3 linked regions of the Nothobranchius furzeri genome follow. The protein of the gene in region 1 purifies or fractionates together with the protein of each later gene. This does not show direct contact. Links are inferred from orthologs where the notes say so. Each region holds a gene or a part of one and is shown on either strand. Other genes may lie near its edges.

Region 1 (3,648 bases):
AATTAGTCCTCCAAAGGGGCTGATTCTGTTCTTCACCCACCGTGTGAAAGAGTGGAAAGATTAAAGCCGTTGTTGGCAAAAATGTAAAAAAAATTCCCGTTTGCCAGGATTTGTTTTGGGAAGTAATTCCCAAATCTGGAGTTGGGACCTCACTGAGAATCACCAGGAGCTTCACCGGGAGATAACTTCCAGAAATCAAAGTTAAATTGAAAAACATTTGTTGAAGCTATACTTGGAAAAACTCAACTAAATAGTCAGATTCAGTTTTTTTTTTTATATAAAATGTTGAGTATGTCGGTAAGATTCTACTTTGTGTTGGTCTATTGCAGAAAACATCAATAAAAAACGTAGTTTGTGGCTAGAAGGTGTCAAAACGTGTTCAGTTTCTTTGCAATAAATCCTAGTTTCAGGCATAAATACAAAGTTTCTGCTTTGCAGAGTTTGGAGTCTGAAACGCTGAGAATCATCCGGAGTAGGAACGAGACGGAAGAATCTTCTTGGCTGCTATCGGATCAAGACCGAGACGGAAACTCTGCTGATTTAGTGGAAATAGAAGAAGGCAAGTGATCGACGTTACATTTAGTCCTTTTAAAAAAAGATTTCATTTTATTATAACGAAAATTTGGCCGTCACATCTGGATCTACATGTGTTTAACTGGTGTGTGTGAGACGTCATCGTAGTGCTCTTCATGTCTGTAAACTCTGATAAATGACCTGTAGGGTTAGAGGCGACACATTTTTTTTACAGTAAAGTCCTTAAGTATGTTTCAGAAATAGAATCTATTATCCAGACAGAGTTGTAAGAAAATGACTACTGCCTACATTTTAGGCCTTTATGATGTTCCACCCATTCAGCTGGTAACACCTTAAAACCGTTGAGGCGCTTGCACAGATTATGTTGCATCTGCAGCTTTCCTCGCCAGTTTTATAATTTAGTTCCTCCTCAGCAGAAAGGTCTGGAGAGTACACGGAGGTTCCTTTGGGTGCTTTGGACATTGCTGCAGCTGACAGTCTGACTCTTTCTCCTACCGGTAACTAAGTCTCATCTCGTTGTTCCTTTTAAGAAAAGTGGTAAATGGCCTATATTTGTATAGCAGGGTATCCGCGGGTCCTTAAAAAGTCTTAAATTTGCTTTTCCAAATTTAAGGCCTTGAAAATCCTTAAAAATGACAAATAATACTTAAATCCAGTTTCCAAAGGTCTTAAATTACCAAAGACCCAATAAACAAGATTATTTTATTTCTATAAAAATTTTCGTGAATTCCTAGTTGGTGTTCAGCATTTTTTGTGTACGATGTTGGCGTAAGCGGAACCGTACACATTCAGTTGGTTGTGAAAGGGGGCTATTTTTAGATGAGCACATTAGCTGGTTAAGCTAGTGGGAGCTTGCGCCATGGGAAGTGCAAGTTTAATGGTAACTGGATGGTTAATCCCACGTTCACAACCGGTTCCAGGCAATAGTTGGAAATTATAGCTTAAATTTAATTTTGAAAATAGCTTAAATTTGGTCAAAGTGGTCTTAAAAAAGGTCTTAAAAGTCTTAAATTTGGCTCCCTTAAACCTGCAGATATCCTGTATAGCACCTTCTTAGGGTTCTACAACCCCCCCCCAAGGCACTTCACAACACAGTCATTCACCCATTCACACGCACTTTCACACACTGGTGGGATGAGCTACAATGTAGCTACAGCTGCCCCGATAGAGGCAAGGCTGCTGAGCACTGGCACCAGCGGTCCCTCCGACCACCACCAGCAGGCAAGAAAAGATGCTTCAGTGTGATTAAGCTGTTTGAAGCTAACGTCCGTCGCCTTCCTGTCCAGCAGAGGGAAGCGATGCCGGCGACCTGGAGCGTCTGGAGGAGCTCCCCTTGTGCAGCTGCAGGATGGAGGCTCCCCGTGTGGACAGCACCAGCCAGCGGGGCAGCAGACAGTGCATGGCCACAGAGAGCATCAACGGAGAGGTTGGTCTGTGTTTACCCGTTTGCGTTAACTAGCAGCTCCCTGGATGTCCAGTCCTCCGTGTGAGGGTGTAAAGGCAAAACCAGTGAGAATCTGCCTAAAATTCCAGATAAACTGCTACCTGTGCTACAATCGTAGAGAAGCTAGAAGTCTCAGATTTTGTCTAAAGGGTTTAAAACGTATTCATATTTCTGCTTGTTAGCTGCAAGCGTGCACCAGCTGGACCATTAAATGGGAAACCATGAGGCCGTCCAGTCGGGTCCCACTCATGGTGCTCTGTGATGTCCATCGCTCTCACATGGTCAAACACCACTGCTGCCCCGGCTGTGGATACTTCTGCATCGCTGTCAGTGTTCTCGCTTGATGTTTGCTCTCTTTCTATTTCTCCAAGTTTTCTCTTTCATATGTTACTTCCTTTTTGTTTTCAGGGCACTTTTCTGGAATGCTGCCCAGACCAGCGCATCGCTCACCGTTTCCACCGCGGCTGCGTGACGGTGCTGAGCGGTGGGCGCAGCAGAGCGAATGGCGGCGGCATGCTTTTCTGTCCTCACTGTGGCGAAGATGCCTCTGAGGCGCAGGAGATCACCATCCCCTCCTCGGCTTCCGCGACCACCGTCGTCACCATGTCGGCCTCCTCCACCACGACTCCCTCTCTTCCTCCGTCGGTCCCGATGGCTCCCTCTCTCTCTGCCTCAACAGGAGGAGCGAAGGATGGAAAGATCCCTGAACGACCTATTAGGTAAGATCAGATCATTGGACGGTTGTTCATTTAGCAAAACTCACATTTTGATTCCATTTGTGCTGCCATGCGGGTCTATTGACTTAAACACTCCAAACATGAAAAAAACATCCATCAGTTTTCTGTCCGCGTTTGGTTTAAGGAGGTTTGTGCCGAAACTAGGGTTGTCACGATACTAAAATTTCAAACTCGATTCGATACTGGGGGGGGGGGGGGGGGGGGGACTCGATACTCGATACACAGTAGGACAAAGGTACATCTACCGGTAATCTTAATAAAAACAGATTGGCGCACGGCAGTGACGTCATTAAAAGCGCCGGTTAGATTAGCCGCGGCTAGTCTGTTCACGCCTAGAAATCCCAGACCCGCTCCAAACGAACAGGGGAATCACGTTAATTATTCCTAAAAAAAACTTTCGACATTGAGATGTTTTGGTGCAGATAATGTCTCATTTCGAGGCTACACCATGGGTGCCCGTCCGCACCCGTTATATGGATATACGCTGATGGCGATTCGCCGATGGATCTAAATACCCCGGGGAATCCAAGTAGCACCAAAGTTGTCAGCGTGAGTAAACAAACGTACTGCATGCTAGAAATGAAGTCCGGGTTGCAATAAACGGGAGTTTCCTTTAAGCACATAAGCGTGAATATACAACTACGTGTCGGACTTGGTATGCTAATGAAGTTGGGCTGTGAAACGCCTCCCAAATTCGCTGTTTATGTTTTTGTTTATTTATTTGGCAGACAAAACTTGGATCGGAGACAACTCGCGTTGGAAATTGCAATGTAGCCATGCGGCGTCTTCTTCTTCTGTTTGTCTGGGAGGCGGAGGCTGCTTTACGGCATCTGGCTGTCGTGCGTGTCGGTGTACTTGAAGAAGGCTGTGTATAATAGTCCATAATATCGATACCACAGGGATGGAATATCTAATTTAGATACCACTTTTAGC
Region 2 (4,428 bases), on another chromosome or scaffold:
CTTACTGTTTATGACGGAACAGCGATTAGCTAATGAATGATTTGCCAGTAGTAATGTGGTGTTAAAGATTCAGGTTGTTAGACATTTAAGCTCATGATAGGACATCGTGCTGTGCTCTGGTGCAACAATTCTGCACCGTTTAACCAGTTCTGTTTTAGACATTTAATAGTTGAAAATGTAAGTACTTTATAATACTTAAGCATATTTCTTTGTCATACGAGAATGAATAGTAGTCCTCTTAGATCAAGTGTGTCTGAGATCCCCATACCCAGCATGTTTTAGTCATCTCACTGCTGCAATACACCTGAATGGTTGAATTACCTGTTCAGCAGGTCACCAAGCTCTACAAAGGCCTGTTAGTCCCCCCTGTGCTAGGTTAGCTTCTAATGTTTATGTCTGAGGAAAATTTTGTTTTACTACGAAATGGGTGCATTATGATTACCAAAGTGCATAAAAGTAAGTGCATTGTCATTATAACAGAATGAAGATCTCCCAAAATGAGTCTACCAGTAAAACTTACCACTTCATTAGAAACATGAGGTCTCCACACGAGTCGGTTGCCCCAATGATCTTCTCTGGCTCTAGGCCCCTCTCAAAGCCACGTGCAACTAGGATCTCATCCTGAAATGTAAAAAAATAAAAAATAAAAAATTAAAAATGCCAGCTGAATATTTGCCAAAGGGCTATTTCATTGGCCATAAATTCAGCAATTCTAAACACAGGTCAAATCTAGATATAACTTATATTATTTAATAAGTATAGGTGTTGCCCATCACCTGCCCATAAGTTAATGCATTATTGGTAATTCAAAAAAACAATTTATCATTTTCATCTCAAAATTATACATTTTACAACATTTAGCTAAAATATAAACAGTCTTTACAGAAATCAGTTCAGAAGAGCTAAGTACAAATGCTCCCACGCATACAAATGATTCATATCAGAATGAGTGCGTTTACATGCAGCCAGTAACCCTTTTAAAACCCGAATATTCACAATAACCCGGTTCCGCAGGTCCTTGTAAACACCGCCAAAAACCTGGATATGCTCATAACCGGGTTTTTAAAAACCCGGTTACTACACCTGGCGTAACCCTTTTCTAACCCGAATGTTTGGTCGTGTAAACGCATACCGGGATATCCCCATCAAAGCGTGTGTTCTGCACATGCTCTGTTCGCAAGGAATCTTGGTCTTTTGAGTAGCGAGACGTCTTGTATGCGCCAGAACACCGGAAGTAAACAACAAGTTGGGAGCAACATGGCGAGTCGCGGCACAGCACCACACTTTCGCAGTGACGAAGAAACTAAAGCACAAACAAACGCGGTCGCCGTCTCTTCCGAACTGGGAAACGTGTTGTTGTTTTCACGGATACCGGAACAAGAAGAACCGGAAATGAGGCATATTGCGTCTGGACGTAGTCCATATGTCTTGACGCTACCCCACCGTCCGCATTTAAATCGGGTTATGCAAGTTAGGGGTAACTCTTTCTATTTATTGTAAACGGGCTTGTAAACGGGTTATTCTGATCAACTCAGAAACCCGAATACCGACCTTAACCCGATCATAACCCGGATATTGGCTGCATGTAAACGTAGTCAATGAAATTCACCTATAATGAAGATAATTTACCTCTTTCTTCTTCTTTGGCTTACTTCCTCCTTCCTCTTCTTCCTCCTCTTCATCAGAGCCCTTCTTTTTTAAGCTGCTGGGATCTTTAGTGCGTCCAGATGAGCCTGTGCTTGATTTACTGGCCCCGCTGCTAGGTGTCGAACTACCACCGCTGCTGCTGCTTTTCTTATAGGTCTTCATGAACTCTGAAATAAGCTCAGGGCAGTCTAGATTCTTCTCTGGCTCCCATGTGTTGTGCTTGCTGCAGAAAATCACAGCACAAGTCATTGAAATGTCACGTTCATTTTTAAAAGGGTAATATTGTGTGCTCAAACCAGCTTCACTGATGCTTTTTGTGCTGTGTGTGTGTGTGTGTGTGTGTGTGTGTGTGTGTGTGTGTGTGTGTGTGTGTGTGTGTGTGTGTGTGTAAAACGGGAATATCAAGTCACTGACCAGTAAACAGGTACTTGGTACTTACTCAGAGTATCCTTTCCACTTAAGGAAGAACTCCACCCTGCCTTTCACCACCCTCCTGTCCAGCACCTTCTCCACAACATACTCTTCTTCATCAGATGAGGACTCCTCTTCACGTGACTTTTTGCCCATCTCGGAGTTGGGTGCTTCACACTACACTCTTTTAGAGTTCGATGGCACTTTCCTGTTCACGACGAAATCACAAACAAGCATCTCACAAAACATGCCATTTTTTCTCAGCGCTCGTCCACATGTAAACACATAAATTTAAGCTCAAGCTGCAGGTTTGCAACCATGAGCGTTAGCCACACAACGTGGTTACCGTGCATCAATGAATATCTTCATTTAATCTCGTTCTTCCCACTAGCAGAACGATAAGCATGGGAAAACTGCTAATATAATGGCCATACATGTGCATTTCTCGACATATGCCCGTTTGAAATAGTTATATGCGACCAGACTGCACTCACAGAAAACGAACAAAGCACACAGTTCAATGAAGACCAAGGGATTTGTCCTGCTAACTAACCCCAAACTAGCCAAAGGAGCTAGCTTACGTGCTAAAGCTATGCTATACTCGCTAATTTACTTATCAAACAACTACCCGATACTTGCAACAGCGTAAAGCACATTTACAAAAACGCAGTTTCTTACCCTCGGAGTGTATAACCCACTGGATGTAGGCCGCTGGTCGCAGGGACTGCTCCGTTTATCTAGAGGCAGCAGTGCAGCTAATGCAGCACCAGCGTTAGCATCTAGCCTGTAGCACATAAAGGTGCCGTGCGCAAAAAGCGCGCGTTAAAAACGCACAATGAACATACCCGCCCCCAGTCTGCTGGTGACATAATAAATGTTTAGAAAACACGTTCCTTCCTACTAAATTTTAACTTTTCTATAACGTTAACGTTCGGTTTATAAAATTGTAGTAACTTGCAGTCACAATAATTTACAAAATAAGTATACACGATAATACAAAATAAAAAAAAACACAGCATAAAGGGTTACAATTATTTGACTGAAAATAAAGAAATTAATATATATACGTCTACTTTGTTGTAGTAATTTATGTTTTCATATATTTTTCGTTTAAATCTTGCTGCATTTATTTATTTCTCTATGTTCATGTTATTTTCCCCCTTTAGTCACCACACACAAAGCCCAGATTAACTAATTTGGCTCATTTTAAATTATACTTTAGCATAAACTCTTCAAGAGTTGTACATTTTGCATCGGTTTGTTTGATTACGGGACATCTTGTGTACCAACATGCGAATGATATTTCCCGTGTTGTTTAGCCAGACGGCAATTTGTCTATCTTTTATATTGTTTATTGTCTTTCTTAGGCTCGTTTCGTAGAAAAAAGTTAATAAGTCGTTTTTTCAGCACCTTTTAAATGTGAGCATTCAATTTCTCTGTCAATTCAGATAATTTGTTTATAGATGAAGGCACATTCATTTTTGGCTTTATGTAATTTAGGTCGGCCATTTTTCTTCATGGTCGACAAAGGCGAATGCCTACTACGCAGTGAATGGTTGTTCGCATTGATTGACAAAATTTAGACCAATCAAAATACAGTTCTGATTGACGACACAGTACCGCGGGAACTACAGACCAATCGCTGAGGGGAAGAGGCGTTTCCGTTCCTATTTCTTGTACGTTCACCCTGTCGCTGGTCTTGTCTGACGCAGCTAGTTCCTCTGCGGTCGGTTCTCAAGGAGTCGTCAAGGATAAAGCGGCAAAATGTCTAAAGAGGTGAGTGCTAAACTTATCAAAGGATATCAGGCCGTAAGATTAATAGTTTGGTTTTGGGTAGTTTTATTATAGGTTGGCCATACTTGGTGTTGTCGACGGACTGTGTGCCGTAGCTGCAGAGCTTTCTTGAAGCCGCCATTTTATAGAAGCTGAGCCTCGTGGCCTTTTGTTCTGATGATGATCTGTAAAGGACATCAGTGGCTTCTCTTCAACACCAGTCTTAAACGATTATATCCCTAACACATTAAACGACAGTGAGTACATATTAATTGTGTGTTGGCTCTTTGAAAGAAGGAGTTCTTTGACTTTAGTCTGAGCGGTTCCTAAACTGTAATGGCGGCGGTGCGCCTTCTCCACCCTATCCCTGATTTTTGATCAAAGACGCAGAGTTTGATATAAATGGTCCACCGACAATATTATTATGCGGAACTATATTGTGCATTGCTTCTCCTATGACGCAAATATTTTTGTGCAGGTTCCACGTGAGCCGGAGCAGCTCCGCAAGCTGTTCATCGGAGGCCTGAGCTTCGAGACAACAGACGAGAGCCTACGGGCTCATTTTGAACAATGGGGCAGCCTTACAGATTGCGTGGT
Region 3 (4,144 bases), on another chromosome or scaffold:
TTCAATCTTCTGCTATAGACTCTTAAAAAATAGGGGAAAAAATTCAACAGTCGGATTTTTCAAAAGTTGAAAGGTGTGGGCGTGGCTAAGCCTCAAACTTTGACCTGGCGCCACGCCACTCTTTTTTTCACAGCTCCCTACTGGACTCCTTTTACCCAATCAGCAGGAATCTCTGTTAAATAGCAGTAGACAACTTGAGGTCACTTGGTGTCCAGTACTGGCAGGTTTCAAAAAAAGGCGGGGCTTTGGGAGCATGGCGAAAATCGCCATCACGCCATGGAAATACGTTTGCCTCTCATTTCTTCAGTTATCGTGATATCGCTACGGAACTTCTGGTGAGTGATCCTAGTCTGACCCCCAAGAGAAATAGACAGCTGAAATTTGTGGGCGTGGCCTATTTTCTTAAATAGCGCCCCCTACGACCATTAAAACTGTCAGCCCCAAGCCATGCTTTGACTGAGGATTACGAAATTTGGTACACTAATGTGGTGTCTCAGGACCTACAAAAAAGTATCTTGGAGCCATGTGCAAAGTCGCACAGGAAGTCGGCCATTTTGGTCCAAGTACGCGATTTAGTGGTTTTCGCACACGTTGTTTGGAGAGTGATGCTCCGTCGCCCTTTTCACCAATGGCCTTCAAACTTCTGCTATATACTCTTAAGACATAGAGGAAAAAATTCAACAGTCGGATTTTTCAAAAGTTGAAAGGTACGGGCGTGGCTAAGCCTCAAACTTTGACCTGTCACCACGCCACTCTTTTTTTCACAGCTCCCTACTGAACTCCTTTTACCCAATCACCAGGAATCTCTGGCTAATAGCAGTAGACAACGTGAGGTCACTTGGTATCCAGTACTGGCAGGTTTCAAAAAAGGGCGGGGCTTTGGGAGCATGGCGAAAATCGCCATCACGCCATGGAAATACCTTTGCCTCTCATTTCTTCAGTTATCGTAATATCGCTACGAAACTTCTGGTGAGTGATCCTAGTCTGACCCCCAAGAGATAAAGACAGCTGAAGTTTGTGGGCGTGGCCTATTTCCTTAAATATGGTAAATGGCCTGTATTTGATATAGCGCCTTCTAGAGTTCTTGAAACCCCCCAAGGCGCTTTACAACACATTCAGTCATTCACCCATTCACACACACATTCACACACTGGTGGGGGTGAGCTACAATGTAGCCACAGCTGCCCTGGGGCGCACTGACAGAGGCGAGGCTGCTGAGCACTGGCGCCACCAGTCCCTCCGACCACCACCAGCAGGCAACGTGGGTTAAGTGTCTTGCCCAAGGACACAGCGACAGACTGAGCGGGGCTCGAACCTGCAACCTTCCGATTACGGGGCGAGCACTTAACTCCTGTGCCACCGTCGATCGCTAGATTCATTAAAACTCTGCCCCAAAACACGCTTTGTCCGATTGATGCCAAATGAACAGAAAAACATCTTGTCAACCAAAGCTGACCTCAATGGGATTTTTCTGTAGTTGGTCACAGCACACCCTAGATAACTTTAACCTACAATAACTTCAAAAAACGTGGCCAGAAAAGCATTACAGGTGGTCTGTGTCATCACACCACCCGTGTTGTAAAGATAGAGTTTGCCCTATTGGTGAGACGTGTAATATAATGGTGGGCTCAGAGGGGATGCTGAGTCAGGGTGAGGTGTGGAAGAGGTGATCGTTAGCGGTTTCTGGTGTCGGGGTGGCTGTTGTTTCTGTTCCGCGGACGTGCCCTGGTGCGCCGGGCTGCCGGCCAGGCCGGAGCAGCGCGGAGCTGCGAGGGCGAACGACGCTGCTTGCAGCTTTAATTCCCATTTATATTTTATGTTGCTATAACAAAAACGAAAAGGATATATTTAGTTTATAATTTCTTGAATTTTTTTACTTAATGTGGCAGTGTGAGCATCCTGTCACAGTGTCCCAATTGATCATGCACCCTGGCTACTTGGCCAAGGGGATGTCCCTTTGGCTGACTGGCCAGAGCGTATGACTCTCACCCGGGAGTCTGGGGATCGAATCCCACCCGGGCCCTCGCCTTTCCACCCTGCCACATTAATACTATTTTGAATGCTCTTGCAAAATAAAATGTGCATTTTGATTAAGTGATCTGTGGTTGAAGCTTCTGAGGTAATTCTTAGACTAATACGTGTTTATCACCAACAGAACGCCTGAAGCCAATGCAAAATAGAACCGACTTTTGTTTATTTATGGCCTATTATAAACCTACAAGGTCGATGGAGTGAGGGGTCTTGAATTTGAAGGACATTAAAAGTGTCATGCCAGCTGAAGCGGTGTACCCCTGGAGCAGCAGCACTAAATCTGCTAAAGAATGGACACTGAAAATGGCTTTTTATGAGCGCTGGTGAATTTTGTACACAGCTAAAACTTTCAGCTCAGGAAGAGTTCAGTCGACTCACTATAGTTAGGATGTACTATGACATGGAACTACTTTCAGAGCAAGGCTGACCTAAACAGTTGCGCTTGGTTGGTATATTAGCTTCTCTTCCACGTTTAAAACACGCTGTGTTGTTGGATGCTGCTTGCAGGATCTGCAGACTATTCCATTAAGGCTGTTCCACATCAAAACCTTTTCCTAAGGCTAAACTAGAGCTAACGACAACAATCCCTCGCGTTTTTGCTATTCACATGTTAGTAACACGACAGTAAACAAACCAACGTTACCTCCGAGCAGTGTGGATGAAAGCAGATGAGAAGTTAAACGCTGCATTTAATATTTTCTTACTTTCGTCTTCCATCTATTTCACAGTCGCCATTTTCCGTGGTGGTCTGGTGTGGGACAGATCATTTTGTAAGGGTGTCACACGTCCAGTTAACCCCGCTGCTACAAAACAAACAGCCTCCAAAATTACGGTCTAAAATATTGAGGCTCTTTACAAAGATAGCCGCTGTTGACAAGTTACAGGACTAACCTCTTATGAACATTTCGCTACGTATTGTGACGCGGCGGCGCCATGATGCTCCCCTGAAAACCCAGTAATGGTTCATTCCAGATAGGAGGCATAAAATTCAGAGCTAATGACCATTTCTTTTGGCCAGCAGATTTTTTATATGATGGCGGATAATCATCGTTAAAATGAATAACATACAATGAGCGTTAAGATGCAATTTGGTTTGGACATTTCAGATGCAAACAAACAGTTGTTGTCGTTTATAGTTTGTCAGTAAGATGTAGACGGGAATGAGGGGATAAATGTTGATGGAGCCCAGGCTTTGTTGCTTTTGTGACCGGTAATTTTCCTTTTTAACCCCATCTGGCGTTTTTTTTTTTACCGGGAAAACACGGCCTGTTTAAATACTCTTTAAAATATTCCTTGAATCAACCTGCTTTAGGCAGTTTTCTATAGCAAGTTGTAGCCAGTGGGCTGTCTGACTGAACACACACTTGTCTGTCAAAATGAGCACGTTTAAATAAAGTTATTACAGATTTATGAGGTCAGCAGTCTCGAGCTGTTTGCTTTAGCCAAATTAGCTTAACTATCAAATGTAGTTGGGTAAAGCATTCAACTTAATTTACAGAACAGTGTGTTATAAACTTGCTTATTAGGTAAGTTCACAAAGATAACTTATAAAATAGCTCTGCCGAATTACCATATAGTCAAACTGCTAAAAACGCTCGATATTTGTGTTGTTAGCTTTTGGTCACTAGCATAAAGCTATCAAAGCTTGGTAAAAACTAGTTGTGAACGATTTTTTATTGAAAACATTTACGTCATAATTTGCCCTCTTTAACCACAAATTTAACAGTTTTTACAGCTTTGTCCTATCAGTCACTTTTCTAAATGTAACACCTGTTTAAAACCTAAAGGTAGGCTGTGCATGCAAACATTAAACAGTGGATATAGTTTAATACATCTAACAGCAACAATTCACCCACTTCCTAATGATGATGTAATTGCTTTGTTGAGAGGGTTGGATTTACACTGAAAGATCATGGGAGATTAATTTAGAATTCACTTTGTTCCTGTAGTCAGATGTTGCTCCACAAGATTCAAGTTGACTGATTTGATTTTGTGCTCTAACTGAGGAGCTTCTCTTAAGAGATGATGGACACAGATGACTGCACTTTGACCCTGGACAGATTGTTTTTCGAGAAACCTACTATTCACAAGGTGTAAGTACAAGCAGTGGAAA

Evidence for each region. The genes of interacting proteins can lie anywhere in the genome.
Region 2: the proteins of ehmt2 (region 1) and cbx5 purify together in Homo sapiens (affinity purification with mass spectrometry; 3 studies listed by BioGRID and IntAct, with this or other methods). This does not show direct contact. The link is inferred for Nothobranchius furzeri from reciprocal best matches to the Homo sapiens genes EHMT2 and CBX5.
Region 3: the proteins of ehmt2 (region 1) and znf644a purify together in Homo sapiens (affinity purification with mass spectrometry; 3 studies listed by BioGRID and IntAct, with this or other methods). This does not show direct contact. The link is inferred for Nothobranchius furzeri from reciprocal best matches to the Homo sapiens genes EHMT2 and ZNF644.

The regions. Positions count from the first base shown.
Region 1 is NC_091759.1:8,520,660-8,524,307, forward strand, and holds part of ehmt2 (histone-lysine N-methyltransferase EHMT2), read left to right. Parts: intron 1-438; coding exon 439-559; intron 560-950; coding exon 951-1,031; intron 1,032-1,820; coding exon 1,821-1,960; intron 1,961-2,160; coding exon 2,161-2,304; intron 2,305-2,386; coding exon 2,387-2,697; intron 2,698-3,648. UniProt on the Homo sapiens protein: Histone methyltransferase that specifically mono- and dimethylates 'Lys-9' of histone H3 (H3K9me1 and H3K9me2, respectively) in euchromatin.
Region 2 is NC_091755.1:25,772,068-25,776,495, reverse strand, and holds the start of cbx5 (chromobox protein homolog 5), read right to left. Parts: upstream 2,875-4,428; 5' UTR 2,737-2,874; intron 2,267-2,736; 5' UTR 2,215-2,266; coding exon 2,087-2,214; intron 1,871-2,086; coding exon 1,630-1,870; intron 622-1,629; coding exon 521-621; intron 1-520. Other genes in the region: heterogeneous nuclear ribonucleoprotein A1, read left to right, coding at 3,823-3,834, 4,310-4,426. UniProt on the Homo sapiens protein: Component of heterochromatin that recognizes and binds histone H3 tails methylated at 'Lys-9' (H3K9me), leading to epigenetic repression. In contrast, it is excluded from chromatin when 'Tyr-41' of histone H3 is phosphorylated (H3Y41ph).
Region 3 is NC_091751.1:71,531,649-71,535,792, forward strand, and holds the start of znf644a (zinc finger protein 644a), read right to left. Parts: upstream 2,875-4,144; 5' UTR 2,736-2,874; exon of another isoform or gene 2,675-2,735; intron 1-2,674. Other genes in the region: probable ATP-dependent DNA helicase HFM1, read left to right, coding at 4,054-4,124.